4 linked regions of the Elephas maximus indicus genome follow. The protein of the gene in region 1 purifies or fractionates together with the protein of each later gene. This does not show direct contact. Links are inferred from orthologs where the notes say so. Each region holds a gene or a part of one and is shown in the gene's direction. Other genes may lie near its edges. The genes, in order: MED9, MED31, MED16 and POLR2B.

The links.
Region 2: the proteins of MED9 (region 1) and MED31 purify together in Homo sapiens (affinity purification with mass spectrometry; 4 studies listed by BioGRID and IntAct, with this or other methods). This does not show direct contact. The link is inferred for Elephas maximus indicus from reciprocal best matches to the Homo sapiens genes MED9 and MED31.
Region 3: the proteins of MED9 (region 1) and MED16 purify together in Homo sapiens (affinity purification with mass spectrometry; 5 studies listed by BioGRID and IntAct, with this or other methods). This does not show direct contact. The link is inferred for Elephas maximus indicus from reciprocal best matches to the Homo sapiens genes MED9 and MED16.
Region 4: the proteins of MED9 (region 1) and POLR2B purify together in Homo sapiens (affinity purification with mass spectrometry; 4 studies listed by BioGRID and IntAct, with this or other methods). This does not show direct contact. The link is inferred for Elephas maximus indicus from reciprocal best matches to the Homo sapiens genes MED9 and POLR2B.

Annotation. Positions count from the first base shown.
Region 1 is NC_064820.1:214,931,031-214,938,851, reverse strand, and holds the start of MED9 (mediator of RNA polymerase II transcription subunit 9), read left to right. Parts: upstream 1-4,819; 5' UTR 4,820-4,901; coding exon 4,902-5,128; intron 5,129-5,138; exon of another isoform or gene 5,139-5,143; coding exon of another isoform or gene 5,144-5,292; intron 5,293-7,821.
Region 2 is NC_064837.1:16,396,713-16,404,148, reverse strand, and holds the start of MED31 (mediator of RNA polymerase II transcription subunit 31), read left to right. Parts: upstream 1-4,431; 5' UTR 4,432-4,515; coding exon 4,516-4,543; intron 4,544-5,405; coding exon 5,406-5,483; intron 5,484-5,787; coding exon 5,788-5,884; intron 5,885-7,436. Other genes in the region: C19H17orf100 (uncharacterized protein C17orf100 homolog), read right to left, coding at 3,633-4,010. UniProt on the Homo sapiens protein: Component of the Mediator complex, a coactivator involved in the regulated transcription of nearly all RNA polymerase II-dependent genes.
Region 3 is NC_064821.1:626,180-634,043, reverse strand, and holds the start of MED16 (mediator of RNA polymerase II transcription subunit 16), read left to right. Parts: upstream 1-4,854; 5' UTR 4,855-4,971; intron 4,972-5,954; exon of another isoform or gene 5,955-5,983; 5' UTR 5,984-5,991; coding exon 5,992-6,124; intron 6,125-6,926; coding exon 6,927-7,034; intron 7,035-7,319; coding exon 7,320-7,489; intron 7,490-7,864. UniProt on the Homo sapiens protein: Component of the Mediator complex, a coactivator involved in the regulated transcription of nearly all RNA polymerase II-dependent genes.
Region 4 is NC_064823.1:104,050,939-104,058,773, reverse strand, and holds the start of POLR2B (DNA-directed RNA polymerase II subunit RPB2), read left to right. Parts: upstream 1-4,827; 5' UTR 4,828-4,929; coding exon 4,930-4,948; intron 4,949-7,835. Other genes in the region: NOA1 (nitric oxide-associated protein 1), read right to left, coding at 1,045-1,209, 2,986-4,135. UniProt on the Homo sapiens protein: Catalytic core component of RNA polymerase II (Pol II), a DNA-dependent RNA polymerase which synthesizes mRNA precursors and many functional non-coding RNAs using the four ribonucleoside triphosphates as substrates.

The DNA of each region.
Region 1 (7,821 bases):
TAAAGGATAGTATCCATTAGATTGGTGCTGTACTGAAAAAAAAAAAAAAATCTGTATGAGTCCAAAAGATCAACATTTAATCCAAAGCAAAGATTTGAAGACAAGGAGGCAGGAAAACTAGAGTACTGGAAATAGAACAACCAGAATACACCTAATGAGAACGCTGACACAATGTGAAAAGTGTAACTAACGTCATTGATCAGTTTGTGTGGAAATTGTCAAAGGGAAACCTAACCTGCTACATAAACTTTCACTAAAAACACAATCATGGTGCTATGGATCTCTTTTGTGTGGTCTTCCTGCCATGGTCTTGGAAATCCCACCCAAGTGATTGGGTGGGACTATGCAAATAAGGTAATTGTGGCCCACCAAAGGGATTGGTCAGTTTTGCCATCCCCTTAGGCTTAAGATGAGCCATCCCAGAGGCAAGAAGGAGGGGATCTCCCCACTACCAAGGAAGACGGGCCAAGAGCAAAGCAGCTCCTTTGGACCCAGGATTCCTGTGCTGAGAAGCTCCTGGAACCAGGAGAACAAGAGAGAGAGACAGAGAGAGCTGCAACACTGAAGATGGTGAGAAGCAATGCCAGAGAAATGGCTGCAGGAGAGAACATGCAGGGAGATGGTGCAGTGTGCTTTCCAGTCCATGGAGTGAGAAAGCAGTGTACCTTCAGGCAGGAGGTTTGCTGGTGGAGTAGGGTGCTTCCAGGCACTTGATAGAGCTAAGTTTGCCCATCCACAGAGCTAGAGCTGAGCACCTTTGGGCTGAGGTTTACTGATGGAGTGGGATGCCTCTGGGCACTTAGCAGCAGAACTAAAAGAGCTTGGTAACACTTGCCCGAGCAGGAGCCAGAGAGAGGCCTGCCTGTGGGCACAGCTGAGAAGAGGTTGTCCTGATGGAAGAACTGTATTCTGAGAGTTCCTGAACCTGAATTGTAACCCGTAATAAACCTCATAATTGTGAGTATTGTCCTTGAGTTCTGTGTAGCCACTGTAATGAACTATCGAAACTAGCAGAGAAGTAGAGTGTTGTGGGAGGGACAGTTGGTGTCAGAATTGGTAAAGATGGCAGAAAGAGGAGGCAAGTCTGACCTCTGCCTCAGAAGAACCAGCCTTGGGCTGTTGATCTTGATTCTCCTTCACCCTTATGAAGTTAGAGGAGATCAGATGCCACCTCATGCCATCTTTACAACAATAAAATATTATTTTAAAAAGGAGAAAAATATATTTCATACTTATGCACATATTGACTATTTTCAGAGTTCTTCATTCCACTGTATAGACTCAAATTTCTACCTAGAATCATTTTCCTTCTACCTAAAGACATGTTTCTTTATGTTGTTTGGCCACTGTTCTATAGGATTTCTCTTATTATTATACTGATATTATAGTGAAATACATAGGAGAAAATGGACTATTTTAGACAAAACATTTACATGTAGACAATAAAATACCTTGTTCGCAATTTTTAATATAGATTACATGTTGAAATAATAATATTTTGATTGTGGGTTAAGTAAAATGTATTAACATTAAATTCACCCATTTCTTTTTTTTTAATGTGGCTAAGAGAAAATTGAAAATGACATTTCTATTAGAGTGCTGATCTAGATCATTCTAGACTATTCTTCTTAACTGCCACCAGTTGATTTTTTTTAATTGGTGAGGGAGGAAACCCTACATCTGAATAATAAGAATTAATGTTTGCTGAGTGAAGATACTTCTCTACATGCTTTACCTGTATAACCTCACTCAATCCTTCTATGAGGTTGAATCAGGAAACAATTGTCCAAAGCCGTCCAACTTCAGAAGCGGAGCTGGGATGGAAAGCCAGCAGGTTGGTTCTGAAGCCTGAACTCACAACCTCCACCTGACCAGACAAAGCCCTTTAAGAAGCTGCTTCGGAAAGTGATCCACATATAGCTTAACTCTGTGACGTTCATAACAACATATACTCCTTAGGTATCAATGAAGCAGCTGCCTTTTTCTGACTCTTCACAAGGCGGTTATAAACAGACACATGTTTGTTGCCGCAATTGAAGCTTTAATGAAACCAGCACAGGCAGTATTTTTGTGACATCCACTTGCATCCTTGTGAAGTCAGCTTTACTCTTTGCCCCTAATTATATTAACTATTTTTAGGACAAATTGTCAATGTGCCATACTTGTTCATGCTTAATACATTTTCAAATTGTTTTCTTTAGCCATATCTATTTATACTTGAAGTGTTTTTTTAAAAAAAGATTATTCCGGCAATGACAAAGATTCATGATGAAGTTATAAAACACACCAGGAGAGGAAGATGACATGCAGTCACCATGGGGATATTATTGATGAATAGCAGATTGCTTTTTGAATTCTGAATAAGAACTTAACTTTAACATTTTGAATCATAAAGTTTCAGAATTGGAAGGGACCTGAGGTCTCTTATGCACAGGCTTGGTGCCAGGAAAGTTGTGTGTGTGACCCCGGGACCAGGGTCTTAACCGTTGTAAGACTCAGTTTCCTCATCTATAAAATGGGAATGCAAACATCTACCTTCTAAAACTCCTTTGTGGATTAAATGAGATAATATTGTAATTCTGTTTCTTGTACCTTCTTTTATTCCATGGTAGCTATGGTTATTATTATTATTATTACCATTATTCCATCATTATTTCCCCCAGGTGACTCCAAATGTATACCCTCTCTTCCAGCACATCTGGTCTTATCCCAATAGTCCTTTCTCCTCTATTCTCCACAAGAACTCTTGAACTCTTCCCTTAGGTGAGGAGGTCCCTGCAGGCCTCTCCCCCTCCCTTTCCTCTCCAGCACCCCCAACAACACCCAGTTTCCACTCTGCAATCTTGCTGCCCAAGGATCTGCCTGCTCCCCATGCTTCCGAAATATCAGTTACTGCTCATCTGGCTGCCTGAAGGTGGACTCCTTACTGCCCATGATGGTAGACTGAGGAATGATGCCAAATGAAGGCTTTCCTAGCCCATGCCTTTCTTCTTCCACTGGCTGCCCAGCCTAGACATTTATTGTACAGTCCCCTGGTCGTACCTATTTGAGGAACATAACCACAAACCACCAGAAGTCTCCCTGATTCCTTGGGTCCCAGGGGGTCCTCATGCAAATGAGACCTACCTTCAGGGGTCAGCCACATATTTAAACTTAGAAAGCAGTCTAGGCTTCGGAGGTAAGGAAACTGGGACCTAGGGAGCTTAAGGAACTGGCCCAGAAGTATGAAGAGTGTCTTAGTTATCTAGTACTGCTATAAAAGAAATACCACAAGTGATGGCTTTAATAAATAGAAATTTAATTTCTCACAGTCTAGTAGGTTACAAGTCCAAATTCAGGGTGTCAGCTCCAGGGGAAGGCTTTCTCTCTGTTGGCTCTGGAGGAAGATCCTTATCCTCAATCTTCCCCTGGTTGAGGAGCATCTTAGGCACAGGGACCCTGTGTCCAAAGGACACACCCTGCTTCTGGTGCTGCTTTCTTGGTGGTATGAGGTCCCCAACTCTCTGCTTGCTTCCCTTTCCTTTACTCTCTTGAGAGAGAAAAGGTGATGCAGGCCACACCCCAGGGAAACTCTACCTTGGATCAGGGAGGTGACCTGAGTAAGGGTGGTGCTAAAAAATCCCACCCTAATCCTCTCAATATAAATTAATTACAATCACAAAATGGAGGACAACCACACAATACTGGGAATCATGGCCTAACCAAGTTGACACATATTTTTGGGGGGACACAATTCAATCCATGACAGAGAGTATTTGAAATTCTTCAATGTATTATTATTTGTGGCATGAATCCCCATCTAGGTCCTTGGGTGGTGCAAACAGATTTATGCTCAATTACTATCCTAAAGGTTGGCAGTTTGAACCCACCTAGCAGCCCTGCAGAAGGAAGGCCTGGTGATCTGCTTCCATAAAAACTACAGCCAAGAAACCCTGTGGAGCAGTTTCACACTGTAACATATGGGATCGCTGTGAGTTGGAATCTACTCCATGGCAACAGGTTTAGCTTTGTTATTTTTTTTTTGTTTTTTCGGGGGGAGGGGTGGTTAATCCCTTCTGAAGGAGCCCTGGTGGTAGAACGTTTAAGTGTTCAGCTGCTAAATTAAAGGTTGGTGGCTGGAACCCATCCAGACAATCTGCAGGAGAAAGACGGGGCTATCTGCTTCTGTAAAAGTGAAAGAAACAAAAAACAATTCTAAAGGTTACAGCCTAGGAAACCCTATGAGGCAGTTCTACTCTGTCCTGTAGGGTCGCTAAGAGTCTGAATCGACTCCACCACAGTGGGTTTGGTTTCTTTTTTTTTTTTTTTTTTTCAGTCTTCCCATAGTTCAACTTTTTTTTCTTCAGGAGACCTTCCAGAGGAATGGCGGATGGTGGGAGCCCTGGTGGCGCAGTGGTTAAGAGCTGTGGCTGCTAATCAAAGGTTGGCAGTTCGAATCCAGCAGCTGCTCCTTGAAAATCCCATATGGGGCTGTTCTACTCTGCCCTATAGGATCACTATGAGTTGGAATCAACTCAAGGGCAATGGGTTGAGTTTGGGCCACGCTGAGCCTTATTTATCGCAAGGTTTCCGTGTTGGTTGCGTTTGGGCTCTCTTCGTCAGATGAATAGGAATAAGAAAGACTGGGTTATTTTTTGAAATAAGTCTCCTATTTCCGAGTGTTTAATAATTTAGCCATGTTGACTCACAGCCAAGTTCAGGCCACCCAGGCCCGCCAACAGCCTGTTGCCCAGCAACAGTCGCCAAGCACTGCCCAGCCCCTTTGCCCGGCACCCATACGCCTGTGCGCATGCGTAGACCCTTCCTGCCGGCGCGCAGCGGTGACGTATGAAATCCGTGACGCTTTCGGCGTGTTGATCCCCCCAGGGTCCTGCTGATTGACTGACAGACCCCTGAACTTCATGGCCTCCGCTGGTGTGGCCCCCGGGCGTCAGGCGGAGGATGTGTTGCCGCCGCCGGCCGAGCCGCAGCTTCCAGAGACGAAGCCGCTGCCGCCTTCTCAGCCGCCAACGCCGGTCGCTGCGCCTCAGCCGCAGCAGTCGCCCGCGCCGAGGCCGCAGTCACCTGCGGGCGTGAAAGAGGAGGAGAATTACTCCTTTTTACCTCTGGTTCACAACATCATCAAATGGTAAGGCCCTAGAAGATGACCATCCACGACACTCCCCCCTGCTTCGCGTCACACCCCTGTCAGAGCTGGAAGAGGCTTAGAGGCTGCCCCCATTTTACATATGGGGCTTCGGAACCGGAGGGGAAAGAGGCTTTTCCCAGGACCTCGCAGAGCCTTTCCATGAGGTCAGCAAATGCCTTGATCCCTAAGAGTTACCAGGCCTCATGATGGCCAGCCGATATTAATAAGAATGAAGTCAGCTCAGAGACTAAATTCACAGACTCTGGAGTAAAAAAAAAAAGTTTGCATCGCAGCCATCTTGAGCAAGTTCAGCCTCTCTGACCCTCAGTTTTCTCATCTGTTATATGGGGGTAATTCTCACTTTGGCTCCTTTTTTCTATTCAGCCAACAGGTTTTGGCCCTCCTTCCTGTATGACACACGGCTAAGTGCTGTGGAGTGTGCCAGTTAGAAGGAATGGGAAAGACACATAATTTAAGATGATAAGGAAGGGCTGATGATTAAAAGAAACAAGTTCCCCACCAGATTAGATCCTGTGGCACTAATTTCCTTCTAACATAGTACCATAGGGGGTGGTTGTCATCCTTTTGGCCAGGATTCAAGTTAGCTAGAGTTTTCAAACTGACCCCTGTAAAAGAAAAAAAAACCAAAGGTCTCCCTGATCCCCATTTTTACCTAAGTTATTTTTATTCTTGTTACTTGAATATCTATCCACAGGATACTAGGTGGAAACCCCTTATGCTTATAATTTATTTAGCCATTAAACCAATACAAATGCACAAAGTAGGTTAAAACGAAATTACTATTCTAGCACAATTCAAATGCACATTAGTACGCTGTTTGATGTTTTGCTGAAATGGAATTGCTACATGAGGATAAAAGAAACAAACAAATAAAAAAAACCAAACCCATTGCTTTGGAGTTGATTCCAACTCATAGCAACCCTATAGGGCAGAGTAGAATTGCTCCATAGGGTTTTCAGGGAGTGGCTGGTGGATTCAAACCGCTGACCTTTTGGCTTGCAGCTGAGCCCTTAACCTCTGCACAACCAGGGCTCCCACATGAACATACGGACCATTAATGGCCCAGATTCTTTTGAGTAGCCAGCCTAAATTCACTTGCTGTGGGATACATGATGTTTCCACCATTTTTCTCTTCAAACTATTGCAAAACCTTTGTTCTCACATTAGACCCTGACTTCGTCTGGCTTCGCGTTGCATAAACAAAAGTGAAGCAGACTCTGTTCTTGGCAACAGTGAGTTTGCAAAGACAAATGCAAGTGCACACCCCACACTCCTGGGGCAGTACTGGATTATGAAGGGGTTGGCCAGGTTAACCCAGATATACTTACGCTAGTTTTTAAAAAATCTGGGAAAATGAAAACCCAAAATATACACATTCGCAGAGACGGTTCTTAGACCTCTGAGAGTATGTTCCTGAGCCCTGATAGAGCAGTGGGGTTCTGCTGGCTTTAAGGATGGGGCAGTAAATTATACTAGAGAGAACATAGGCTTTGAAGTCAGGCGGTGCCGGATTCAGGTGTGTTAGGCCTTAATTCTCTCATCTCAATATGTGGATAATAATAATGGACCTCAAACTAGGGGTTCAGATTATAGCTCTATAATATGCTAGCTGGATGACCTTGCACCAGTAACTTAACTTCTCTGAGCCTCTTTTTCTCCTGTGAAATTGCTGAATTGTTGTGCAGTATACTCAAGTGTACTTTCCCCCCTGGGAAAGACGGCGGGTTAATCTCATGCATTCATCTCTGTTTCCTCTAAAAGGACAGTGAAGGGGTTTTTCTTTCTTTCTTTTTTTTTTAATGTATAAAACTAAAAAGAACAGGAGAGGAGATGATTGCCACAGGGCAGGCGGTCAAGGGCTGACTCACCTACCAGCCCTGAGAGCAGTCCACCTTTGACCGTGCTGTTGTTTTTAGGTGCTGTCAAGTCAGTTCCGACTCATAGTTACCCTGTGCACAACAGAACAAAACATTACCTGGTCCAGCACCATCCTCACAATCCTTCGTATGCTTGAGCCCATCATTGCAGCCACTGTGTCAATCCATCTCGTTGAGGTTCTTCCTCTTTTTCAGTGACGCTCAGCATTACCAAGCATGATGTCCTTCTCCAAGGAGTGGTCCCTCCTGATAACATGTCCAAAGTACGCGAGATGAAGTCTCAACCATCCTCGCTTCTGAGGAGCACTCTGGCTATACTTCTTCCAAGACAGATTTTTTCATTCTTCTGGAAGTCCATGGTATATTCAGTATTCCTCACCAACACCATGATTCAGAGGAATCAATTCTTCCTCAGTCTACCTTAGTCATTGTCCAGCTTTTACATGCATATGAGGCAATTGAAAATACCATGGCTTGGCTCAGGTGCACCCAGTCCTTAAAGTGATATCTTTGCTTTTCAACACCTAAAAGAGGTTTTTTGCAGCAGATTTGTCCAGTGCAATATGTCATTTGATTTCTTGACTGCTGCTTCCGTGGGCATTGACTGTAGATCCGAGTAAGATGAAACCCTTGATCTTTCACCGTGGCCTCTCCCGAGATTCCAGGAATCAGCAGTATCAGGAACCTCTGGAAATAAGGGTGAAAGTGGGACTAATAACAGGAGGATCACTTAAAAGTCTCTTTAAGAAACGGATCCCCACAGTCCTCTGACAGGGAACTCAAAGCAACAGGTGA
Region 2 (7,436 bases), on another chromosome or scaffold:
AGATAGTTGACGTTAATTATCTCCAGAGAATGGGAATGGAAAGGAATGACATCAAATGGTTACACATCCTTGACTTATTTCATTTGTTACATTAAGCACATATCACTTCTGTAATAAAAACTTTAATAAAGAGCATTGTTAAAGAGAACTACCTTAAAAATTTAAAAAACATTGATTAAGAGGGTGTTTGCATGTAATGCCCATAGTCATCCATGTTAAAAAGAATTAGTAAGCTCACCAAAGACTAAAATTCCCAAGGCTAATTATTAGTTTATTAATTTATAGTGGAAGTGTTATGAGTCAGAAGCATTAGGCTAGCCTCCAGGGTTTTATAACATTTCTCCTGGCCTGAGCCTCTGTACAATGGAAGAGCCCAGTGTACTTCCCTGTAATTAAATGAATAACATGGGTAATGACTTATCACAGGGCCTGGCAATATCAAGTACTCTACCTCACAATGTGGGCCCACATTACCAAGATAACTTATAGCCCACAGATGGGATCACCTGTCTTCCTGGGATAAATATCACATAAACTATTGAAAGCAGGGGTGTTAAGGTTCCTCAAAGAGCAACATATCTCTCTTCTCTGAGCTCTCCTGCCCTGCTCTTCACCAGAGGTCACTATCTCTAACCCTTTCCCACTAGTACGTAGGCCTCACACAAAACAACTGCTCTGAAGAGATTGGGCAATGCTCTAGCTTTCCAAGCTGCTGGAAACTTCGAAGTTTCTCAGCCTTGGCACTCTTGACATTTTGGGCCGAGTAACTCTTTGTTGTAGGGAGTTGACCTGTGCTTTGTAGGATACTTAGCAGCGTCCCTGGCTTATACCCTTAGATGCCAGTGGTACCCACTCCTGCCTTTGCTCCAGTCGTGACAACCAAATATATCTCCAGACACTGCCAAGTACCCGCTGTTGGGCAAAACTGCCCCTGGCTGAGAACCATTGTTAGAAATCAATTCAGTTGTTCTTTAGTTTCCCTTGAGGACCTGGAGCTAGAACTACACGTTAATATCCATGCCCTCCCCCACCCCCACCCCCAAAAGAATCCTTGAACCACTAGAAATTGGTTTAAGACCTTCTTCCCAATAGCAGTGTACTAATGTTGGCTGTGAAAGTCAAATTTTGTGAAGCAAACTTTCTCCCTTATTGGTAGCTGCCAAGGGACTACAAAAAAAATGGACTACAGGCAAGGAAAAATTAGGTGGGTCAAGCCTGGCCCTATGTCGTTGAGAGAGAGGGAATAGATGCTTTGACTTGCTGGTGCTCCTTAAAGAACAAGGTCTTAATTTTATTCATGCAACATGAAATGAAGGGGGCAGAAACTGGCAGCTGAGCAACTGACAGTTCCATGGGTTTAAGCGCCATTTATGTACTGATGATGCCACATTTTATATTTCTAACCCTCATCTCTCTCATGGTAGCCAGTCTCTTAATTCAACTGCCACTCAATGTCTCCACTTGGTTATCATATAAGTGTCTCAAACTCAACATGACCAAAACAGAAGCAATTTTCCCTCCTAAACATGCCCTTCCCTAATATTTCTCGTCTCAGTACACGGCACCATTTACTTGACTGCTCAAGCCAAAACTTCAGAGTCATCCTTGATTCCTCTGTTTCTCTTTCCCTCACCTTCCATATCTAATCAGTCAGTTAGGCCAGCTCTGCCTGAAAACACACCCCTAGTCTGTCCACTTCTCTCTAGCTCCACTTCTGCCACCCTAGACTAAGCCATTATCATCTGTTGTTGGACCATGGCATTAGCCTCCTAAATAATCTCCCTGATTCCTCTCTTGTTCCGTACATCAGGGTTGCTCATTCTCGGCATTATTGACACTTTGGGCCAAGTAATTGCTGTGGGGGCGCTGACCTGTGCATTGCTGAGCAGCATCCTTGGCCTCTACTCACTGGATGCCAGTAGCACCCCCACCAGCTTTGACAAACATGTCTCTAGACATTGCCAAATGTCCCCTGGGGGATAAAACCACCCTTGGCTGAGAACCCTGCCCTACATTCATTGTACACACAGCAGCCAGAGGATCTTTCGAAAATGTAAATTGCATAATGTCACTCCCCTGCTGAAAACTCTCCAATGTCTTCCCATTGAGCTTAGAATAAAACCCAAGCTCCACACCATGTCTTACAAGATGCTCTATGATCTGGCCCCTGCCTACTTCACTAATCTCGTCTCTGCCAAGTCATGCTCCTGCTCTCACTTACTAAGCCACACTAGTCTTCCTTCTGTTCCTCAAACTTTCCGAGCTGGTTCCTACCCAACCCTTTGCACTTGCTGTTCCCTCTGCCAAAAATGCATCCTCTCCAGATCTTTGCATGGCTCACTGTTCACACATACAAACCTCAGATCAAATGTCTCCTTCTCAGCAAGGCCTTCCCTGACCACCCTCTCTAAATAACTCCTTACCCTCATTTTCTATCACATTGCTTATTTATTTCCTTTGTACTGCTAATTACAATAGAAAATTGTCTTGTTGTTTGTTGCCTGCCTTTTTTTGTCTTTATTAGAGTGTAAGCTCCATGACCACCACTCATCTGTCAGTTTGTCATACCGCGGTAGTTTGTGTGTTGCTATGATGCTGGAAGCTATGCTACCAATATTTCAAATACCAGCAAGGTCACCCATGGTAGACCTGTTTCAGCAGAGCTTCCAGACTGAGAGACTAGGAAGAAAGGCCAGGTAATCTACTTCAGAAAATCAGCCAATGAAAACCCTAAGGATCAGCAAAACATTGTCAGATACAACGCTGGAAGATAAGACCATGAAGATAGGGAGGGATCAGGAAATGTTACATTCTGTTGTACATGGGGCTGCTATGAGCTGGAGCTGACACATGGTAACTAACAACAACAAGCTCCATGAGAGGAGGGCCCTTGTCTATCCTGTTCACTGCGATAGCCCAGTGCTTAGAATAGTGCCTGGCACCAGCAGGTAATCAATAAATATTCTTCCCCTCCATCATCCTCAAACCACAGGTCAGGTTTTAATGACCTCCTCTCACCTCCCTTCTAGGATTTTTATTGATTTTTGTTGTTGTTGTTTGCCTTCACCTTTCATTTTTAACTACCTTTGACCTGTATTAAAAAGTGTGTGGTCAGGAGTACCATGTACAAGTGTTTGGCATAAAGAAAATAATTAACTTGTTAATCTGAAACATAAACAAAGGCCAATTAATCATGAACTTCTGTTCCTTGCCCCTTAGGCTTTTAACAGGTCATGACTACTTTCAGTGTGGTCCCTGTTCCACAAGTTTGCGACTGTAAAAGTCTTTCTATCAGTGGCTATCAATCCAAAACTCACCTGGCTCAGAAGCTCAAGCAGCCTCTTTGTCCATCCAGCCCAATTTATACAGTATCATAGGCCTGAAAACTTTTTGGGTTGGCTTCAAATTAAAACAGTCACTGGGTCAAAGGTAGGATGGTCGAAGGTGCAGGGCGGTCAGTAACAGTTGGCTGAGTCCAGAAATCACAGCTTGGCTGCTTCTTACATTCATTTATGGCTTGGTTCCATGAAACCAAAGACAACTGGTCCTCCTGGCAGCTGACTGGCTGGAAACTGGAGGCAATCGTTCGGTGGCCAAGGGCCAGGGCCCTCTCGTGGCCTTTGGACAGCATCTCACGGGGCCGTTTTTACGTTCTGGCGGGCCGCCGGCTTGTCCCGCCGGGCCGGGCTCTCCACGTGGTGCAGAGACGTCTCCACTCGCAGAGTCGACGCCCGGATGTGGCGGGAGGACGTTTCCGTGCACTGGGAGGAGGTTTCCACGTGCTGGGAGGACACCTCGAGGACGTGAGGGAGCCGTTTCCCAAAGGGGGCAGTGGGGGGCCCCTCGCTGCGGCGCAGGGAGGTCTCCACCTGACGGGAAGACGTTCGCACCTGCCTAGAGGATGTCTCCACGCGGTGGGACGAGGTCTCCACGCGAACCGTCGAAGTCTCCTTATGGCGGACCGTCTCCACTCGGGGTGAAGAGGGCTTTCCCCTAAGGGGCGAGGCCATTCTGGGGCTGTATCGCGGGCCAACGAGGCCTCGAGGGCTCACAGCCCACGCTCGCCCTCCATCAAGCCTCTGGGTTAGGACACAGGGTCACTTGTTAAGGAATGACGTCATAATGACGTATTATGTCATTGCAGGCACAATGGTGGAAGACTACGATGCTGTCACGGGCGAGAGGGCCACAACATGATGACACGGGATACTGAGGGTCTTGTAGAGGCTGAAAGCCCCTCGCCCTCAGGACCTCCCGGAGGAAAGGCCGGGCTGCCTTGGGCTTGGCTCTCGCACCAGCCGGTAGCCCCTCGAAAGCTTGCGTGGGCGGGGCCAGGGCGGGGCCGGACGGCGATGGGCGGAGCTGAGAGCTACAGGGCGAGGCTCGGCCCACCTCCGCCCCCGGTATCCCACACTGCCCCGGGACCGGAAGGTGAAGCTGTGACTTCCGGCATCTACCCAGTGGCTGCGGTCAGTTGTTTTGTCGAGTGGTGGCGGGCAAGTGTCTTTGGTTTTTATGGCCGCTGCCGTCGCCATGGAGACAGGTGAGTAGCGCTCTGAGCCTCGAATATTCGCAAATAGTACTATTTTTGGTCCAGACACTATCTCCCGTTTCCTCTTGGCCTCCTTTCGGGCCTAACTCCCGGCAGGATTAGAGCCCGGAGAGGGAGGGGCGGTGTTTCTTGTGGCGTCTGGAAAGGCGAAGGTAGTTTTTGCCTTTTTAGAGTTTCGTTGGTTCTCAGATATTTTCTCCACGCTTGCTATGCAAACACTGACCCCGTCGGCTTCCCGGCGTGGGCGAGGCTGAGGTATCTTCAATGGCCTCCTCCTCGGTTTATTTTCTGCGTTTCAAATAAGCTTGCACAAGTTTGAAATACCGTCGACAAACTTGTGTATCATTCTGCTGTTATTGAAGTTTCTCAGGTGTGCACATACTTCATGGTCTTTCACACTCTGTGTAGTCGTCTTTTTCGGCTTGCATTTTGAGTTTTTTCCTGATTTAGCACTCACTGAACTGTACCTTAATTTAGTGACTTAACGATTGTTGTTATAGTGCATTATTAAGGTAGGGGAAGGCAAAATTGTTACAGCCTATTTCAGTGATTTAAAGTCCCAGTGGCCCCCAAGTGGTAGGTACTCTGTATATTCCTGCTTTTGTTGACTTCTCTTTGATGTTAGAAAAACTCCTAACTTATTCCTTTTAATCAGAGCTCCTCTTTTTTTTTAGACTTCAAAGGAAGGTTTACCTCCTCCCACACCCAGTTTAGGAAAATCATCATATACTCTTCTTTATACAGAAATGTACTTCAACATTAGTCAGGTTTCTTTATTACGGCCTTTCTACAAATCAGGATTACATATATAGTGACATTTATTTTGGGTGACTTTCGATGTCTTCTGTCCTAGATGATGCTGGAAATCGACTTCGGTTTCAGCTGGAGTTGGAATTTGTGCAGTGTTTAGCCAACCCAAATTACCTTAATTGTAAGTTGTTGGGCACCTCCTTAAATTGAATATGTACAAATATTAATGATTTCCGACAGAAGAGTTGCAATTCATAATAGTACCTATTTTTATACCTTTTAGCTTAATTGAGTAGAATTAGTGCTACACTTATACTGTTGTATAGATGTAATTGAGCATGCTGGAGCTTGTTTTGAATTCAGTGTGTGTTTGTGGTGGGGATGTTAAAGTAAGCAAATTCTTTGTATGTTAGGAGTCACAAACCAGTGGCCCAAGGATGGGTTTGACCTACAGATTTTTTTTTTTTTTTTTTTGTGCCTTTCAGTTCTTGCCCAAAGAGGTTACTTCAAAGACAAAGCTTTTGTTAATTATCTAAAATACTTGCTTTACTGGAAAGAGCCAGAATATGCCAAGTATCTAAAGTAAGTTTAATTTTTATAATCCTAAGTATGTGTGTGTATTTGTTATACTGATCTTTAACAGACTTCTTAGTTTCAAATTGGAAAAAATATATATTTTGATTCTCCGGACCTCTTTTAGTTGTCACCACCTTAATACAAGGCACCCTCATCTGCTCACTTGGATTACAGTGATCTAGTGACTGGTTATCACTGCTCTCACTCACCTCCCTCCCTTACCCCCAAACCAAACAAAGCAAAACAATATTTTCTTCACAGAAGCTAACTTTATCCCTTAAAAATGTAAATCAGAACACACCACTTTCTCGCTAGAATTTTTCAATGGGTTTCTATTGTATGCAGAATAAAATCCAGTCTTTGTTCATGGGCTAAGTCCGTATATGATCTGACCCCTTCTTGTACGACCTTGTCTTGTACTACTCACTCCATCTCACTCAGTTTCTGACCCTAAGGAACCCAGCTTAAAAGTGCAATGACATAGCCATAGGCTGAAAATTAAAGAACACAGAAAGGTGTACTTGCAGGGAAGGAGTTTCTGAGGTGCCCTAGACAAGATGTTGTTGTTAGGTGCTGTTGAGTTGGTTCTGACTCATAGCCACCCTGTGTACAACAGAACGAAACACTGCCCAGTCCTGTGACATCCTCACAATTGCTGTTATATTTGAGCCCATTGTTGCAGCCTCTGTGTCAGCTCATCTCGTTGAGGGTCTTCCTCTTTTTCGCTGACCCTGTACTTGACCAAGCTTGATGTCCTTCTCCAGATTTGTCCCTCCTGACAACATGTCCAAGGTACATGAGGTGAAATCTCGCCATCCTCACTTCTAAGGAGCATTCTGGCTATGCTTCTCCCAAGACAGATACGTTCGTTCTTCTAGCAGTCAGTGGTATAGTCAGTATTCTTTGCCAACGCCATAATTCAAAGGCATCAATTCTTTTTCAGTCTTCCATATTCAATGTCCAGCTTTTGCGTGCATATGAGGCAATTGAAAATACCATGATTTGGGTCAGGCACACCTCAGTCCTCAAAGTGACATCTGCTTTTTAACTCTTAAAAGAAGTTTTTTTGCAGCAGATTTGCCCAATGCAATATACATCATTTGATTTCTTGACTGTTGCTTCCATGGGTGTTGATGGTGGATCCAAGTAAAATTAAATCCTTGACAACTTCAATATTTTCTCCACTTACCATGACGTTGGAGTCCTGGTGGCATGGTGGTTAAGAGGCTACAGCTGCTAACCAAAGGGTCGGCAGTTTGAATCCATCAGCTGCTCCTTGGAAACCCTATGGGGCAGTTCTAATCTGTCTTAAAGGGTGGGTGTGCGTTAGAGTTGACTTGACAACAGCAGGTTTGGTACCATGATGTTGCTTATTGGTCCAGTTGTGAGGATTTTTGTTTCCTTTATGTTGAGGTAGACAAGGTAACCTTGCCTAAGTCTTACAGCTGCTGTCTTTTTTTATGTGCTAAATACTGCGCTAAGTGCTTCACATCCATGACTTTTTTTTTTTTTTATCATTAAGTATATAGCTCATTTATTGATCATTCAGGGTATGCAA
Region 3 (7,864 bases), on another chromosome or scaffold:
AGATTTTAAATTTCCCTCTCAGGGGAGAAAAACCAAAACTCACCCCTGCTGAGACACGGTGGGGCTTCATCCAGCCCCTGCCCCACCCAATCCCTGTTTCTTGCTTGGGTTCGGGGGGAGTCTCTGGGGCCCCACCGTTGCCCCAGGAGCTTCGTGTCTTGTGTGTGTTTGTGCGTGTGCGTGCCCCACTACCCAGGCCAGGAACAGCGTTTTAAAGGCTGGATTAATCCTCTTTTTGGAACGTGTGTCCTCCCCTGGTGCCTTTTGGCTGATGTGTTTTTGCTTGTGTGACATGGGCAGCTCTACGTGTCCCCTCATACCCCCACTTCCCTCTCCCTTCCTTGGTACTCTGGGGGCTCAGGACTTCCAGCCAGAAGCTCCTGTCCTCAGAAAGCCCTGTTCCCCCACCTCATGTCCCCTGTGTCCCCCAGCCTGGCTCTGGCCCATTGAGTCAGGGAGTCTCCGGCCTCTCTGCTGGTCACCCTACCCCAGGCTGTGAGAGCAGGGCTGGGGACCCCCCTTCCGAGTGTGTGGTTAGTTGTGTTTTTGGGAAAATGGAGGGTTCAATAAATTTCTGGTGCTCTGCCCTCGGGCTGGGCGGCTTTTTCTTTGGGTGGTGTGTGTGCTGGTCACTGAGGGCTGCAGGCCTGGCGGGATGAGATTCCCTGATAAGAATGCTATCCCTGTAGAAGGTACTCATGGGAACCCTGTTGGGTGCTGCCAGGCCGTTAATCTCTTGAGTACCCCCGGTTCGAATCCCACCTCTGCCTCTTTTCAGCTGTGTGACCTTGGATGCGTCACTAACCTCTCTGTGCCTCAGTTTCCCCATGTGATAAACAGGGTCGGCAGGAGGATTATGTGAGATAATTGATGCAGGTAAAACCCTGGCTCAGGGCAAGTAATACCATGCTCAGAAATCTATTTAGCTGCACTTCCTGGCCTGGGTTATTTGTTTCCCACCAATGGTAATTTTGTATCCCCCTGCTCACAGTGTTTTTGTTTTGGAAGCTCAGACGCCAGGGAGGTGGCAGGAGGGGCCTGTGAATGCCATTCCTCTGGTCACTGGATCCATTTCCCAATGACTATTTTCTGAGCCTTTTTTTTTTTTTTATTGTGCTTTAAGTCAAAGCTTACAAATCAAGTCAGTCTCTCATACAAAAATTTGTGAACACCTTGCTATATACTCCTAGTTGCTCTCGCCCTAATAAGACAGCACACTCCTTCCCCCCACTCTGTATTTTCATGTCCAGTCGGTTTCTGACCCCCTCCGGCCTCTCATCTCCCCTCCACACAGGAGCTGCCCACATAGTCTCATGCGTCTACTCGATCCAAGAAGCTCACTCTTCACCAGTATCATTTTCTACCCCGTAGTCCAGTCCAATCCCTGTATGAAGAGTTGGCTTTGGGAATGCTTCCTGTCTTGGGCTAACAGAAGGTCTGGGGACCATAACCTCTGGGGTCTTTCTAGTCTCAGTCAGACCATTAAGTCTGGTCTTTTACGAGAATTTGGGGTCTGCATCTCCTGTTCTGAGCCATTTTGAGAGGGAGGTTCGGGCCTGGAGTCTGTCACCCTCAGTTGTTCGGCTCCGGGAACGGGGACTTTCTGCACAGTCATGGCACCATCCTCCCTTGAGGACTTTAATCTTGATCCAGTGTGGCCTTCGGATATTCAGACCCTTAAAGAAAGATAGCCTTTTTACTTTAGAACAGCAACAGCGTCAGATTTACAGTCACCGGGAAGACAGTTCAGAGAGCCCCATCCACCACATGCCTGCTTTCCCCTTTTTGAACGTCTCACATCAGTGTGGCCATTTGTCACAATAATGAACAATATCAATACTGGGGAGTCTTTGGGTGACAGCTTGATGCCTAACTGACAGGTTGGCGGTTCAAACCCACTGTCTTAGCTATCTAGTGCTGCTGTAACAGAAATACAAGTGGATGGCTTCAACAAACAGGAAGTTTTGTTGTCTCACAGTCTAGGAGGGTAGAAGTCCAAATTCAGGGTACCAGTTCCAGGGGAAGCCTTCTCTGTCAGCTCTGGAGGAAGGTCCTGTCATCAATCTTCCCGCAGTCTTGGAGCTTCTCAGGCTCAGGGACCCTGGGTCCAAACGACGCTCTCTGCTCCCAGTGTTGCTCTCTTGGTGGTATGCGGTCCCCCTGTCTCTGTTCACTTCTCTTTTATATCTCAAAAGAGATTGGTTCAAGACACAACCCAATCCTGCAGATTGAGTCCTGCCTCATTAACGTAACCGTGCTAATCCCATTTCATCAACATCATAAAACCAAACCCATTACCGTGGAGTCTATTCTGACTCATAGTGACCCTATAGGACAGGGTAGAACTGCCCTGTGGAGTTTCCAAAGAGCGCCTAGTGGATTTGAACTGCCAACCTTTTGGTAAACATCCATAGCACTTAACCGCTATGCCACCAGGGTTTCTGTTATAGAGACAGGATTCACAACACATGGAAAATCACGTCAGACGACAAAATGGACAATCACACAATACTGGGAATCACGGCCCAGCCAAGTTGACAGACATTTTGGGGGCACGCAATTCAATCCATGGCACCCACCTAGAGGCCCCTAGGAAGAAAGGCCTGGTTATCTGCTTCTGAAAGGTCACACCCTTGAAAACCCTATTGACTCAGTTCTGCTCTGCACACATGGGAACGCCATGCTTTGAAATCGACTGGCTGCCAAACGACAACACTGATACATTATCATGAACTAAGGTCCACACTTTATTCAAATTTCTTTCGTTTTTCCCTGATTTCCTGTTTCTGGGACCCACGGGACCTTTAGTTCTCGCATCTCTTCAGGCTCCTCTAGGCAGCGACAGTTTCTCAGACTTTCCCTGTTTTTGAGACTTTGATGGTTTTAAAGGGTGTTACTGAGGAGTTTTGTGGGAGGCCCCTTGATTGGGGTTTGGCGCTTTTCTCATGAGGAGACTGAGGCTGTGGGTTTTGGGGAGGAAACCCCAGGGGTGAGGTGCCCTCCCCATCTCACCATATCAGGGTGCATACAGTCCACATGAACCGTCACTGTGACATTGACCTTGCTCACCTGGCTCAGGTGAGTTGTCAGGTGTCTGCACTGTGAAGTGAGCCCTTTCCCCCCTTTCCAAGCTGTGCCCTTTGGAAGGACATCACTATGCACCCACACTTAGGGGTGGGCGTAAGGCTGGAGAATCTACACAGAGTATTTTGAATTCTGCAGGGAGATCTCTGTTCTCCCTCTATTAATTTATCTGTCTTAGTCATCTAATGCTGCTATAACAGAAATACCACAAGTGGATAGCTTTTAACAGAGAATTTTATTTTCTCACAGTCTAGTAGGTTACAAGTCCAAATTCAGGGCGTCGGCTCCAGAGGAAGGCCTTCTGTCTGTCAGCCCTGGAGGAAGATCCTTTGTCCTCAATCTTCCCTGGTCCAGGAGCTTCTCAGGCACAGGGACCCCGTGTCCAAAGGACACGCTCTGCTCCTGGTGCAGCTTTCTTGGTGGTTTGAGGTCCCCAACTCTCTGCTTGCTTCCCTTTCTTTTTATCTCTTGAGAGATGAAAGGTGGTTCAGACCAGGGAAACTCCCTTTACATTGGATCTAGGTGGTGACCTGAGAGAGGGTGGTGTTGCAATTCCACCCTAATCCTCTTAACGTAAAATTACAATCACAAAAATGGAGGACAACCACACACGGCCTAACCAAGTTTATACACAGATTCTGGGGGGGACATAATTCAGTCGGTGACATTATCCAATCATCTATTTATAACACTATGAACTCAAGGGGGATCACTTTAAATTTTGGATTATAATCCCATACTACTTTATTTTGTTGCTTAAGCGATTCCACTTCAGCCCTGGGGAGCTCTTCGGTTGTCTCCTGCGTCCTTTCGACCTACCCCATCATGTGGGGGGGTTATTTACCGAGTTATTTCCTTATTTTCTGGCACATTTTGTATACTTCTGCACCCTCCTAGAATCGGCCATTTCTCCAAGGAGCCCGGTTCTAACTATCGGAGCGTGATTTGGGGAACCAAGATCTGGGCGCTGGGCGTGCGCGATTCCATTTTAACACACGTTTAAAACGTTTTCAAGACAGATGTTGAAAATGGAAATCCAAACGTTGGGTAGAGGTGGTGCGTGCCCAGTGCGGGGTTCAAAAGACCCGGCTGGACTGACCGGCGCGAGGGTCACTATCCGGGAAGTGGTTCCCAGAGGGCAAGCCTTGGGGATTAAGGTACGGGCTGCGGAGTTGGGGTGCTCCCCAGGGTTGGGGTGCGCTAGAAGCGTTGCCTGCAACTTTAGAACGTTTTCTTCGGTAGCCCAAGAGGGGCAGTGCTGGCGGGGGGAAAAGAATGAGATTTTGGAAAAGAAATCAGGTTTGGAACCGGCAGTTCCCCCCACGGGACAAGCCTTGGAGCTTCAGTTTACCCTCCAATGAAGATTGGAAATAAGAACCAAAATATGGAACGCTTCACGAATTTGCGTGTCATCCTTGCGCAGGGGCCATGCTAATCTTCTCTGTATCGTTCCAATTTTAGTATATGTGCTGCCGAAGCGAGCACGGTTACCACGCTAGTCCGTCCCATATTTATAGTATCTCCTGTTCATCTCTTTACAGTAAAGGTCACTCTTTTTTTAAGGTTAGCAATCTATAAATCCTTTATATGACATTAGTACAACACATGGAGTAATAACAAAAAATTTTAAGAATAACTGCCGTGGAGAAAGTCCCCTAGTTGTTCTACCAACTAGAACTGCGATGGCTGCTGGGAAGATTTCCATGTAAATAAGCCACCGCATGCAAATTATGGCGCTGGGGCGGGGCCGTCCCAGAAGTCTCTGCGAAGCTGCGACGCCGCGCAGGCGACTCTTTGGTCCCGGGTAATATGGCGGCGCCGGAGCCCGCGGGTTAACGCGAGTGCGGGCCGTGGCCGCCCGATCGGCTTGGCGCACGGGCTGGCCAGGTGAGCGCGGCGCTGCGCGGGCCCGGCGGGGGCGTCCGGCGTCCGGACGTTGCTCGCGGCCCCGGGGAGCGCGGGCCAGAATAGGTGGAACCGGCGGGGGCGGGGCCTCGAGGGCCACCGTTCCGGGGGCGGGGCCTGCAGGGCCGGGGGGCGGGGTCTGGGAGCAAAGGGTGCTGGGTACGCGGCCAGCGCGCCGGGGGCGGGCCCAGGGGCTGTTACGGGAACTTGGGGTGGAGCCTGAGGTCCGCGGGGGTCAGGGCCTGGGGGCCGTGGGGGAATCGGGGCGAGGACTGCAGAGCAAATGCTGATGAGGGCGGGGCCCGCGGGTCAGGGGCGGGGCCCGCGGGTCAGGGGGCGGGGCCCGCGGGTCAGGGGGCGGGGCCGGGGAGGACGGGGCTGGTGGGCGGCCTGGTCGGGGACACGTTGGGGTGGGGTCCCCGGGAGGAGCCTGGGGAGACTTTGGGGTGAGCCCGACTCCGCGGTGTCACCAATCAGGGTCCTCCGTGTGCTGCCCTCGCCTCCCGCGGGCTCCTGCGGACAGCCGTCGGGCTCCTGTTTTTTGATTTTTTCCAGCCACGGCCCTCCAGGGCCCCGGGGCGAGTCCTCCTCGTCCACAGCCTGCCTGTGGGCCCCCTGCCCTTCCCTCCTCCTTCCTCTTGCTCACTCCCTGCTCACTCGCTGTAGCCACAGCCATGCTGCTGCCTTTCTCCAACTCGCCAGGCTTGGTCCTGCCTCAGGGCCTTTGCACGTCCTGTTCCCTTCCCTGGAGGCTCTTCCTCCAGATGTCTCCTGCCTCCCTCCTTCACCCCTGTGCTCACATATCGCTTCCCCACTTAAAGCTGCAGATCCTCCCACCACACACACACAGTGCCCAGGGCAAGGATTTGATCTGCTTTGTTTACTCCTGCGGTATGTCTAGGGTCCAGAGTGCCACTTGGCACACTGCAGGCGCCAACATCAATGACAAGCCCTCCCTCCTTCAGGAGCTAGTGACATCCGTGCTGTGTGGCAGGTGGCATAATGGACCTGGCTTACGTCTGCGAGTGGGAAAAATGGCCCAGGAGCACCCTCTGCCCTTCCGTGCCCCTGGCTTGCGCCTGGTCTTGCCGCAACCTCATTGCCTTCACCACGGACCTGCGGAACGATGATCAAGGTGCGCTGGCCGCACCACAGTAGTGCCCCTGGAGTCCTGGGGAGCCAGCACCGTGGGGCTCAGTCTCAGGCCTGTCTAGGACCCCGGTTCCACCCCTCACCCAGTGGGCAGCCTGGCCATTCACCCTGCCCCCTTGTCTATAACCTGGGGGCAGTGGGATCTCCAACCTCACAGGGATTCAGGGGGTGAACATGGAGACCTCTCATGCCTGGAACCTGCAAGGTGCTTGGGTTCACTCCCACGGGATTGAGTGGGGACGGGGGGTGGTGGGTCACTGAGGCGTATCTGGAGACTCACTCGCCCCATTTTCCATTCGGTCTTTGAACATATGGGTCACTGTTTGGCTTTTGAAAATCTCTGAAGTACACAGTGCCCAGGTCTCTCTCTGCCATCGTCTGCATAATATGTGCTCGTTAGAGAGAATTAGAAAAGCACAGAAAACTAGAACTAGGAAAAAGAACCACCTGTTACCTTCCACGGACAAGTGCTTACTGTTAGCGTTTTGGGTTCATTTTCTCCCATTTTTGTTTTCTGTGCCTTTTGTGAGAACGTGGTTGTAATTACATTGGCAGTGGTGTGTTCCCTGCCTGCCTCTCTCCTCTGGCGGGGTCACACACGCGCCTCACTGTGTCACCGTTGTCCTCAACGTGATTGATGGCAGCTCCACAGCTTCCCTGTGAATGGGGTCTTTGGTGGGCTGCTCAGTTGAGCCTGCCTGGGGTCCTCAGGGTGCTCCTTCAGGGCCATGCTGACGGTGCTCCGTACCACTTCCGGGCCATGCTGACCGTGCTCCGTCCCACAGACCTGACTCGTATGATCCATATCCTGGACACGGAACACCCCTGGGAGGTGCACTCCATTGACTCGGAGCACCGTGAGGCCATCACCTGCCTCGAGTGGGACCAGTCAGGTGAGGAACGGGCCCCGGGTTGGGCTGCGACATGCTCACATCTCCAACTGTAGAGTTGGGACTTGGACCTCCTGCCATCAGTCTCTCCTGCTCACTGTGTCCAGAGACGTTTCCTGAGCGCACCTCAGGCCTCCCGACTGCTGGGCCTTTGCCCAGGCCACGCCTTCCACTGGGCACTCCTCTCATACCGTCTGTACCCTCGAAACCTGTCCCCCCTTCCCAGGCCCCTTGGGAGTTTGCCCCTGCCTTCTGGGGAAGGTTTGTGATGCAGCTTTGTCCCCACAGGCTCCCGGCTCCTCTCGGCCGATGCTGACGGCCAGATCAAGTGCTGGGGCATGGCAGACCACCTGGCCAATAGCTGGGAGAGCCCAGTGGGCAGCCTGGTGGAGGGGGACCCCATCGTGGCCCTGTCCTGGCTACACAATGGAGTGAAGCTGGCCCTCCATGTGGAAAAGGTGAGTGGCCCACCTGAGTGAGTAGGTTGGTGGGTGAGATCTTGCCATCCTACCCATTCACCTGGCCACCTGTCTCCCCGTCTCCCACCACCACCATTGTCCCCTGATTTCTTGAGCCCTGGGCCTGGTTCACACCTGGGATGAGCACCTGGTTGTCAGTGGGGCTTGAAACGGGTTCTGCCTGGTTCAGTCATGGCCAAGGAAGCGTCACTGGAACAGTCCCAAATTTTTAAAGTTATGGTGTATCAGAAAGATAGCTGGAGCAGGAGCAGTTATTGGCCAAAGTCCTGTGTTTTGGTCATCTAGTGCCGATATAACAGAAATACCACAAGTGCATGGCTTTAACAAAGAGAAGTTTGTGTTCTTACAGTCCAG
Region 4 (7,835 bases), on another chromosome or scaffold:
TCTCAGTCAGACCATTAAGTCTGGTCTTTTTACAAGAATTTGAGTTCTGCACCCCACTTTTCTCCTACTCCATCAGGGACTCTGTGTTCCCTGTCAGGGTGGTCAGTGGCAGTAGGCAGGCACCATCTAGTTCTTCTCGTCTCAGGCTGATGGAGTCTCTGGTTTATGTGGCCCTTTCTGTCCCTTGGGCTAATATTTTCCATGTGCCTTTGGTGTTCTTCATTTGCTTTTGCTCCAGTTGGGTTGGGACCAATTGATACATCTTAGACGGCCACTTGCTAGCTTTTAAGACCCCAGATGCCACTCACCAAAGTGGGATGCAGAACATTTTCTTAATAAACTTTTTTAGGCCAAGTGACCTAGATGTCCCCCGAAATCATGGTCCCCAGACCCCTGCCCCTGCTATTCTGTCCCTTGAAGTATTTGGTTGTGTTCGGGAAACTTCTTAGCTTTTGGTTTAGTCCAGTTGTGCTGACTTCCCCTACACTGTGTGTCAGATAGGTAAATTTTATGTTTGCCTTAAAAAAGTTACTAATGTTAACTACAATCTATGGAAATAAGACCACGATACCAACTTTGCTTTTTTCCCCAAAGGCAGTGGGAGTCAGACTGTTGCAATGATCAAGTGTACAACTGGCTGTGTAGTGTTGGGGGTAGTGTGGTGTTGGAAATCAAACTGTTTTTATTAATGAAAGGCTGGAAACAGATACCAAGAAAAGGAGGACAGATTAATTTAAAGCTGCTGCAGGGAATCACCTTCACTACCTGTAATGGTCTGCATTGAATAGGGTGCCTCCTGAGGAAATGTTTCTACTGCTGACAATGGCTAGGGCAGCAGCTATTGCATGGTTTCTTTTCTGGACTCCTCCAAGTAACTATGGTCCCAGCGTACTAACCTCTGGGTTTCCAAAGAGAAGCTTTGCATCTGAAGGGCTTCTATTTTCTCCACAAAAACTAGCTAGCCCACGACAGCTGTATTTCAGGTGGCACTCCGAAGAATTTTAGCACAGAACCAACAACAGCTTTCCTACGGAAGATGCTTACCTACTACATAACCATGCTTTTTCAAGAGATTAAGTTGATTTTGTTCTTGCTCTGTAAGATCTTCTTCAGCTTTTCTTGCATCTTTTTTAAGCCTCTTTTGCCTTTCAAACATTCTATAAGGCGTTGGGTTGCAAATAGGAAACTTCAGAAGGTTTAATGTAGTACCTAAAATACCAAAGAATAAGTGGGCTTTTATAAATGCTGTACCAAAAAAAAAAAAAAGAAACGCGCGGGGCGGGGAACGACTAACATTTTTGAAGAGTTACACTGTGTTGGATACCGTGATTTATCTCACTTAAGCTTTGTGATAACCCTCTATAAAATTATTCCCATTTTACAGATGAAAAAACAGGCTCAGATTGGCTCAGGATTTGAATCCAAAATTTGCAGATCTGATTTCTTTCCATATTCACCATGCATAGAAGCACTTTCCTGTATAATTCAACCAAAGTTCAAAGCAGAAAGAAAACCAAAGACACAAAGAAAATATTAGCCCAAAAGATCAATGGACCAAATGAACCACACACAGCCTCCACTAGCCTGAGCTCAGAACTAGATGGTGCCGGGTTACCACCACCAGCCACTCTGACAGAGATCACAATAGCGTCCTGGACAGAGCAAGAGAAAAATGTAGGACAAAATTCAAGTTCACACAAAAAAGACCAGACTTACTGGTCTCACAGAGACTGGAGGAGCCCCCGAGACTATGGCCCCCAGAAACCCTGCTAACTCAGAACTGAAGCCACTTCCGAACTCCAACTTCCAGACAAAGATTAGACAGGCCTAAATAACAATTTTTTTTTTGTTCAATCAAGTATACCAGACCAAATGGGCAACTAGTGCCCAAAAGCAAGATGAGAAGGCAGAAAAGGATGGGAAAACTGGACAAATGGACACAGGGAACCCGGGGTGGAAAGGGGGAGTATGCTGTCACATTGTGGGGACTACAACCAACATTACAAAATGATTTGTGTATAAATTTTTGAATGAGAAATTAATTTGTGCTGTAAACCCTCACCTAAAGCACAATACAACAAAACAAAACCAAAACAATAAAGTTCAAGGCCGAGAAAGAAAAAAGCTTGCCAAAGCTCAATTCTAGTTTCAAAGGAAAAACTGGGACAGTTAGTACCCACAAAAGATTAAACCAAAAAAACAAACAAAAAAACTCCACCAAACCTGTTGCCTTTTCAGTCGATTCTGACTCATAGTGACCCTATTGCCAACTGTTAAATACTAACAGGGTCACGTTGTTGTTACGTGCCTTCAAGTAGGTTCCGACTCATAGCGACCCCACAGGAGAACTGCCCCATAGGGTTTCCAAGGAGCGGCTGGTAGATTTGAACTGCCAACCCTTCGACTAGTGGCCTAGCTCTTATCCATTGCGCCACGAGGCCTCCAACAGGCTCATAGAATGACCCATTTTTCGATTACAGAAACTTCTTAAAGCCACAAAATCGACATTTCTTCTAGACAGAGCCACACATCATATTGCTTCACTGAATTTTTCAAAATGTGAAATGTGTGTATAGCACACTTCACATTTGTATGAATAAACTCAAGATATGAGAAGTAGGACTGAAGGGTGTAAGTTCAGAGCATAAAAGGAAACATAACGTTTCAGAGAAACACACAAAGAAGTTACAAGGGAAACCTCCAAGACAGCAGGAACTTTGTATCTCCAGTGCCTAGAACAGTGACCGGCACATAGAAACGCTCCATAAATAGTTCTATTACAAAATTACTACAATGCATACAGATTGTCCAAGCACTAAGATGACTCAGAAAAGAGACCTGTGACCAAAGTTGGGAAAGAATTTCTAAAGGGAAAACTGTAAGCACCTCCTGGTGGACATTACAAATGCTGTACTAGACGCCTGGGGTCACGACCAGAAGTCCAACTTCTCAAAAACCGAAAGGGGCGAGCCTCGTACGGCTCACCTGGCCAGGTGGAGATGGTGGCCCTGTCGATGGCCTCGGCGCCCTTGGCGATGCAGTAGTCGGATTCTAGGAGTGTGTTGAAGAGAGTGGACTTGCCGGCGTTGGTGGCGCCCACCAGGTAGACGTCACCACGGTAGCGCCAGGAGCGCTGAAGCGCGGAGATCAACTCTTCGACCCCGTAACCGGTTTTGGCGCTTATCAGCCGCACGTCCCTGAGTACCGTGCGGGGCTTGGCCGACGGATTCGGATTTTCCTCCGGGTCCCCAGGGCCGTCTCCGCCGGGGCCCTGTGGCCCTCGGTACCTACGAGGCGGCAGGAGGCCGGCGCGGGCACAGTCGTTCCACAGCCGCTCCCGGAGCCGGCGCCGGTAGCCGGGGGCGTCCTGGGGCAGCAGGTCCACCTTGTTCCCCAGCACGATCAGTTGTTTGGGGCCCACCAGCGCCGGCAGGTCGGGCAGCAGGGCGTCGGGCAGGTCGAGCAGGTCCACCATGTAGAGCACCAGTGCGGGACCCGGCCGTCGGAGCGCGGAGCTCACGAGCTCCCGGTACTGCTCGCGGCTCACCTGCACGCGCAGAGCGCGCCGGTGGTGCACCAGCAGCCAGCAGCGCTGGCACACGGTCCGCGCCAGCCCGCCGTCGGCCTGCGCCGCGGCGCTGAGGAACTTCTCGCTGGGCAGGTAGCCGGGCACGTCGGGGTTCTGGCAGTGCAGCTCCGCCCCGCAGCCTGAGCAGTTCACGCCGCTGGGCGGCACCGCCGCGTCTGGGTGCCCTACGATCGGGTGCACCCGGCGGCTGACCCGTAGCTTCTGCTGGCGTCGCTCCTCCCGCCGCTGCTGCTTCTCTCGCTCCTCCTCCTCCTGCCGCTGCAGCTGCTGCTGCAGCTCCTCTTCGGGGGTCGGCGCGGGCTCCGGCTCCGCGACGTACTCAGGGAACAGAAATTGCTCCTCCATGTCAGTCCTTCCTCCGTAGCCCCCAGTCGCCGTCGGGCCATAAGAAAGCCCACGTCCCAGGCCGGAGGGGTGCTGGAAGGAGTAGGCGGCCGCGTATCCTCTCTCGAGCAGCGGCTCCCGGAGGCCATGGCGCACTACCACAGGAGCTGAGGCCCGCAACAACGAGAGGAACAACTCACGGGTTAGGCGTGCGGGCAGCATGAGAAACGCGGCACCTGGGCAAAAGGGCGGAGCCACCTCCGCACATGCGCACTCGGGACCGAGGCGCGAGGCAAACGCGAGTCGAAAACCCCGGGGTGTCTGGGAGCTATCATTCTGGCTCCTCCTCCCGTTTTGAATTCCGTGAGTTCTCGCGATTGGAAGGCTTTGAGGCCACGAATCTGGGACCTAAATACTCACTTAGCTGCCACAAGAGGATAGTGCATGCTTTGAACTATTCAGATTCCTTCAACGCTCCACCGCTAGCATACCCTGCTCTTAATAAATTACATTTTAAAAGCTTGCGTGTTTTTTGGTCTTCAGAAGTGCAGAAAATAAAACGAGTGTCGCAGAAGCAGGGCCGCAACGAAAGCCTTTTATTAATAACACTTTTTAAATTAATACACCTTGGCTAAAAAAAAAAATCATTATTTGCGCAACAACACTCAGAGTGTGCACACAATAAAAAAAAACCTGCACTGGCCGAATACCCTCAAACAGTACGAGGAGTTCTAGCGAACAGCCACTAGAGGCGTCGTGTCAGAATTTGCGCGTGCGTAAAGCCAACCCTAGCCAACATGCTCTATCATTTGCGCAAGCGCAGTTCTAATATTTGCTTCTTTGTGGGTGGCTTTTTTTGGTGTTTTTTTTTTTTTTTTTGGTGTAAGACGCACAGTATTCTGGGAACGCCGGAGACGGAAATTACTTCGACGCGCTCTCCGGGAGCTGGCGGCTGCTTCGCTCTTTTCTGTCTCTCTAGATTTCAAGAGCTAGGCGCTCCGGTACCTTTTGCCAATATGTATGACGCGGACGAGGGTAGGTGACCACTCAAATCTCACTCCGCGGCGACCCAGTTAGGGTGGGGAATTTGGGTAACTGGACGGATTGAGGATTTGTGGCCGACCCCCGCCAGCCGCACAAGTGTCCCCGGTTGTGGTCCTCGCATACTACAGGCCGAGAACGAAGCCAGGTTGCGAGAGGTGGAGGGTGCAGGGAACGTGACGTTGAAGTTCCTAGTCAAATGACTGTTATTCTCTTCTCCCTCTCTATTCTCTATCCTGTTAATTGTGCTATTTACCTGCGGTATTGCAAAAACGTACAGAACCGTAAGACAAATATGGTTGTTTTGACTTGATCTGAAGCAAAGTGCTCTTTTCTTGATTTCCCTTAGGGCCACAGTTAGTGGTTTTATCGACTAGTTCAATTAATGAGCGTCACCCTTGTGCCAGGCATTGTGCTGTTGTTGTCATTAGGTGCCGTGAGGGTCTTCCTCTTTTTTGCTGACCCTCTACCAAGCATGATGTACTTCAGGGACTGGTCCCTTGTTTTAACATGTCCAAGGTACATGAGGCGAAGTCTCACCATCCTCGTTTCTAAGGAGCATTCCGGCTGTACTTACTCCGAGTCAGATTTGTTCCAACTTCTGGCAGTCCGTGGTATATTCAGTATTCTTCGCCAATACCGTAGTTCAAAGGCATCAGTTCTTCTTGGGTCTTCATTCATTGTCGAGCTTTCACATGCATACTTGATGGAAAATACCGTGGCTTGGATCAGCCGCATCTTAGTCCTCAAGGTGACAGCTTTGCTTTTAAATACTTTAAAGAGGTCTTTTGCAGCAGATTAGTACAGTACGTCGTTTGATTTCTTGACTGCTGCTTCCATGTGCATTGATTCTGGATCCATGTAAAATGAACTCCGTGACTTCAGTATTTTTTCTGTTTATCATGATGTTGTTTATTGGTACAGTTGTGAGGATTTTTGTTTTCTTTGTATCGAGGTGTAATCTATACTGAAGGCTGTGGTCTTTGACCTTCACCAGTAAAGTGCTTCAAATCCTCTTCACTTTCAGAAAGCAAGGTTGTGTCATCCGCATATCGCAGCTTGTTAGTGAGTCTTCCACCAATCCTGATGCCACTTTCCTCTTCATATAATCCAGCGTTTCAGATTGTTTGCTCAGCATACATATTGAATGAGTATGATGAAAGGATACAACCCTGACGCACACCTTTCTTGACTTTAAACCACCCAGTATCCCCTTGTTCTGTTCTAACGACTGCCTCTTGGTCTAAGTACAGGTTCCTCATGAGCACAATAAAGCGTCCTGGAATTCCCATTCTTCACGGTGTTATCCATAATTTGTTATGATGCACACAGTCGAATACCTTTGCACAGTTAATAAAACACAGGTAAACATATTTCTGGTATTGTTTCTGTCAACCAAAATTCCTTTGACTTCAGCAATGGTATTCCTTGTTCCATGTCCTCTTCTGAATCTGGCTTGAATTTCTGACATCGTGCTAGGCCCTGGAAATACACTGGAGAAGGGGTTGATCTAGTTTGGCATTCCTCATGCTGTCTTAAGTCTAAGCAAATTGTCTTAAAAGATGGCTTTTAAACTTACTCTTCCCACAAGGAATTGTAGTAATTGTTCTTGCTTGATAATACGTTTTACTGAACAGGTGGAACGTATCCTTTTTCTTTTTGTATAAAGAATTTTTAATCATGTCTAGTGTATTTTCATGTTGTGTTTTTAAAGCTCCCTCTTCGATTGCCTACAGTTACTATTTCAAACTTCATTCTCCTCCAGCTCCTTATCCTATGGTCACTGCTTGCTTTTCTTGTCATTCTGTTAGCTACTTCACGGAGAAAATAGAAACGGAAAGTTAAAACTCTGCTGTAATGATTCTGTCTGATTCATATCTTTTGTCTAGAAGTTCATCAGCATCTTTACATTTCTTTTTCTTCTTAACTTTATCTCAGAAGAAAATTTTAAAGTTTTAAGTTTTTGAGTAGGTACTGTATTCTCATGGCTCACCAGCTAGAAATTACAAACACTTTAAAGTGCCTGTTCTCATTCTTGTTTACCATCTGTCTACTTTAATCCCTTCCACAAATGAGTAATCACTCTTTTTAGATTCTTACTTATTACTCCAGAATTTCTTTTATGCATATTTAAGCAAATACAAATGAGATTCTGTGGGGCAGCTTTGTTCAGTCCTGTAGGGTTGCAATGAGTCAGAATTGACTCAACATAACAGGTTTTTATTTTTCCCCCTTTTACAAATAGAAGCTAATATTCACACTTCTCTGCACTTTTATTTTTTGCTTAATAAATTTAGGAGATTTTCTATTAGTATATAGAAAGCCTCGTTTTTCTACCATAGTTAACCTAGTTTGTATGGATATCTGTAACTTAATTAGGTAGTGTCTTGTTGATGGACATTGGTTATTTCCAGTCTTTTTCTAGTTCAAACAGTGGTTCATAATCTTGTACATATGTTTTTTTTCCCACGTACAAGTATGTCTCGAATAAATTCCTGGGTATAGAATTGTTGGTTCAAATGTTAGACACATTTAACATTTTGATAGATGGTGCTAAGTGACCGCCAAGGTAATTGTACAATTTTACATTCTTATTAGCGATGTATAATAATAATGCCTGTGGAAAAAGAGTTAAAGTTATCATGTTCATGAATGCTCTAGGATTGAGTACATTCCATTCACGTCTGTGCCCTTTGAAATCTGTTAGACACCATCTTATCAGTTTTCAGACACTACTTTTCATCTGGTTTCTGTGTAAAATATTAGATGTCATTCACAGGATACACCATTCACAGTTAAACCCTCTTTTCACTGTTTTCTTTTTTTTTCTCCCGGTATTTTTGTCTTCCTCTTTCCATTCATAGCCACGCTTACTAAAAGG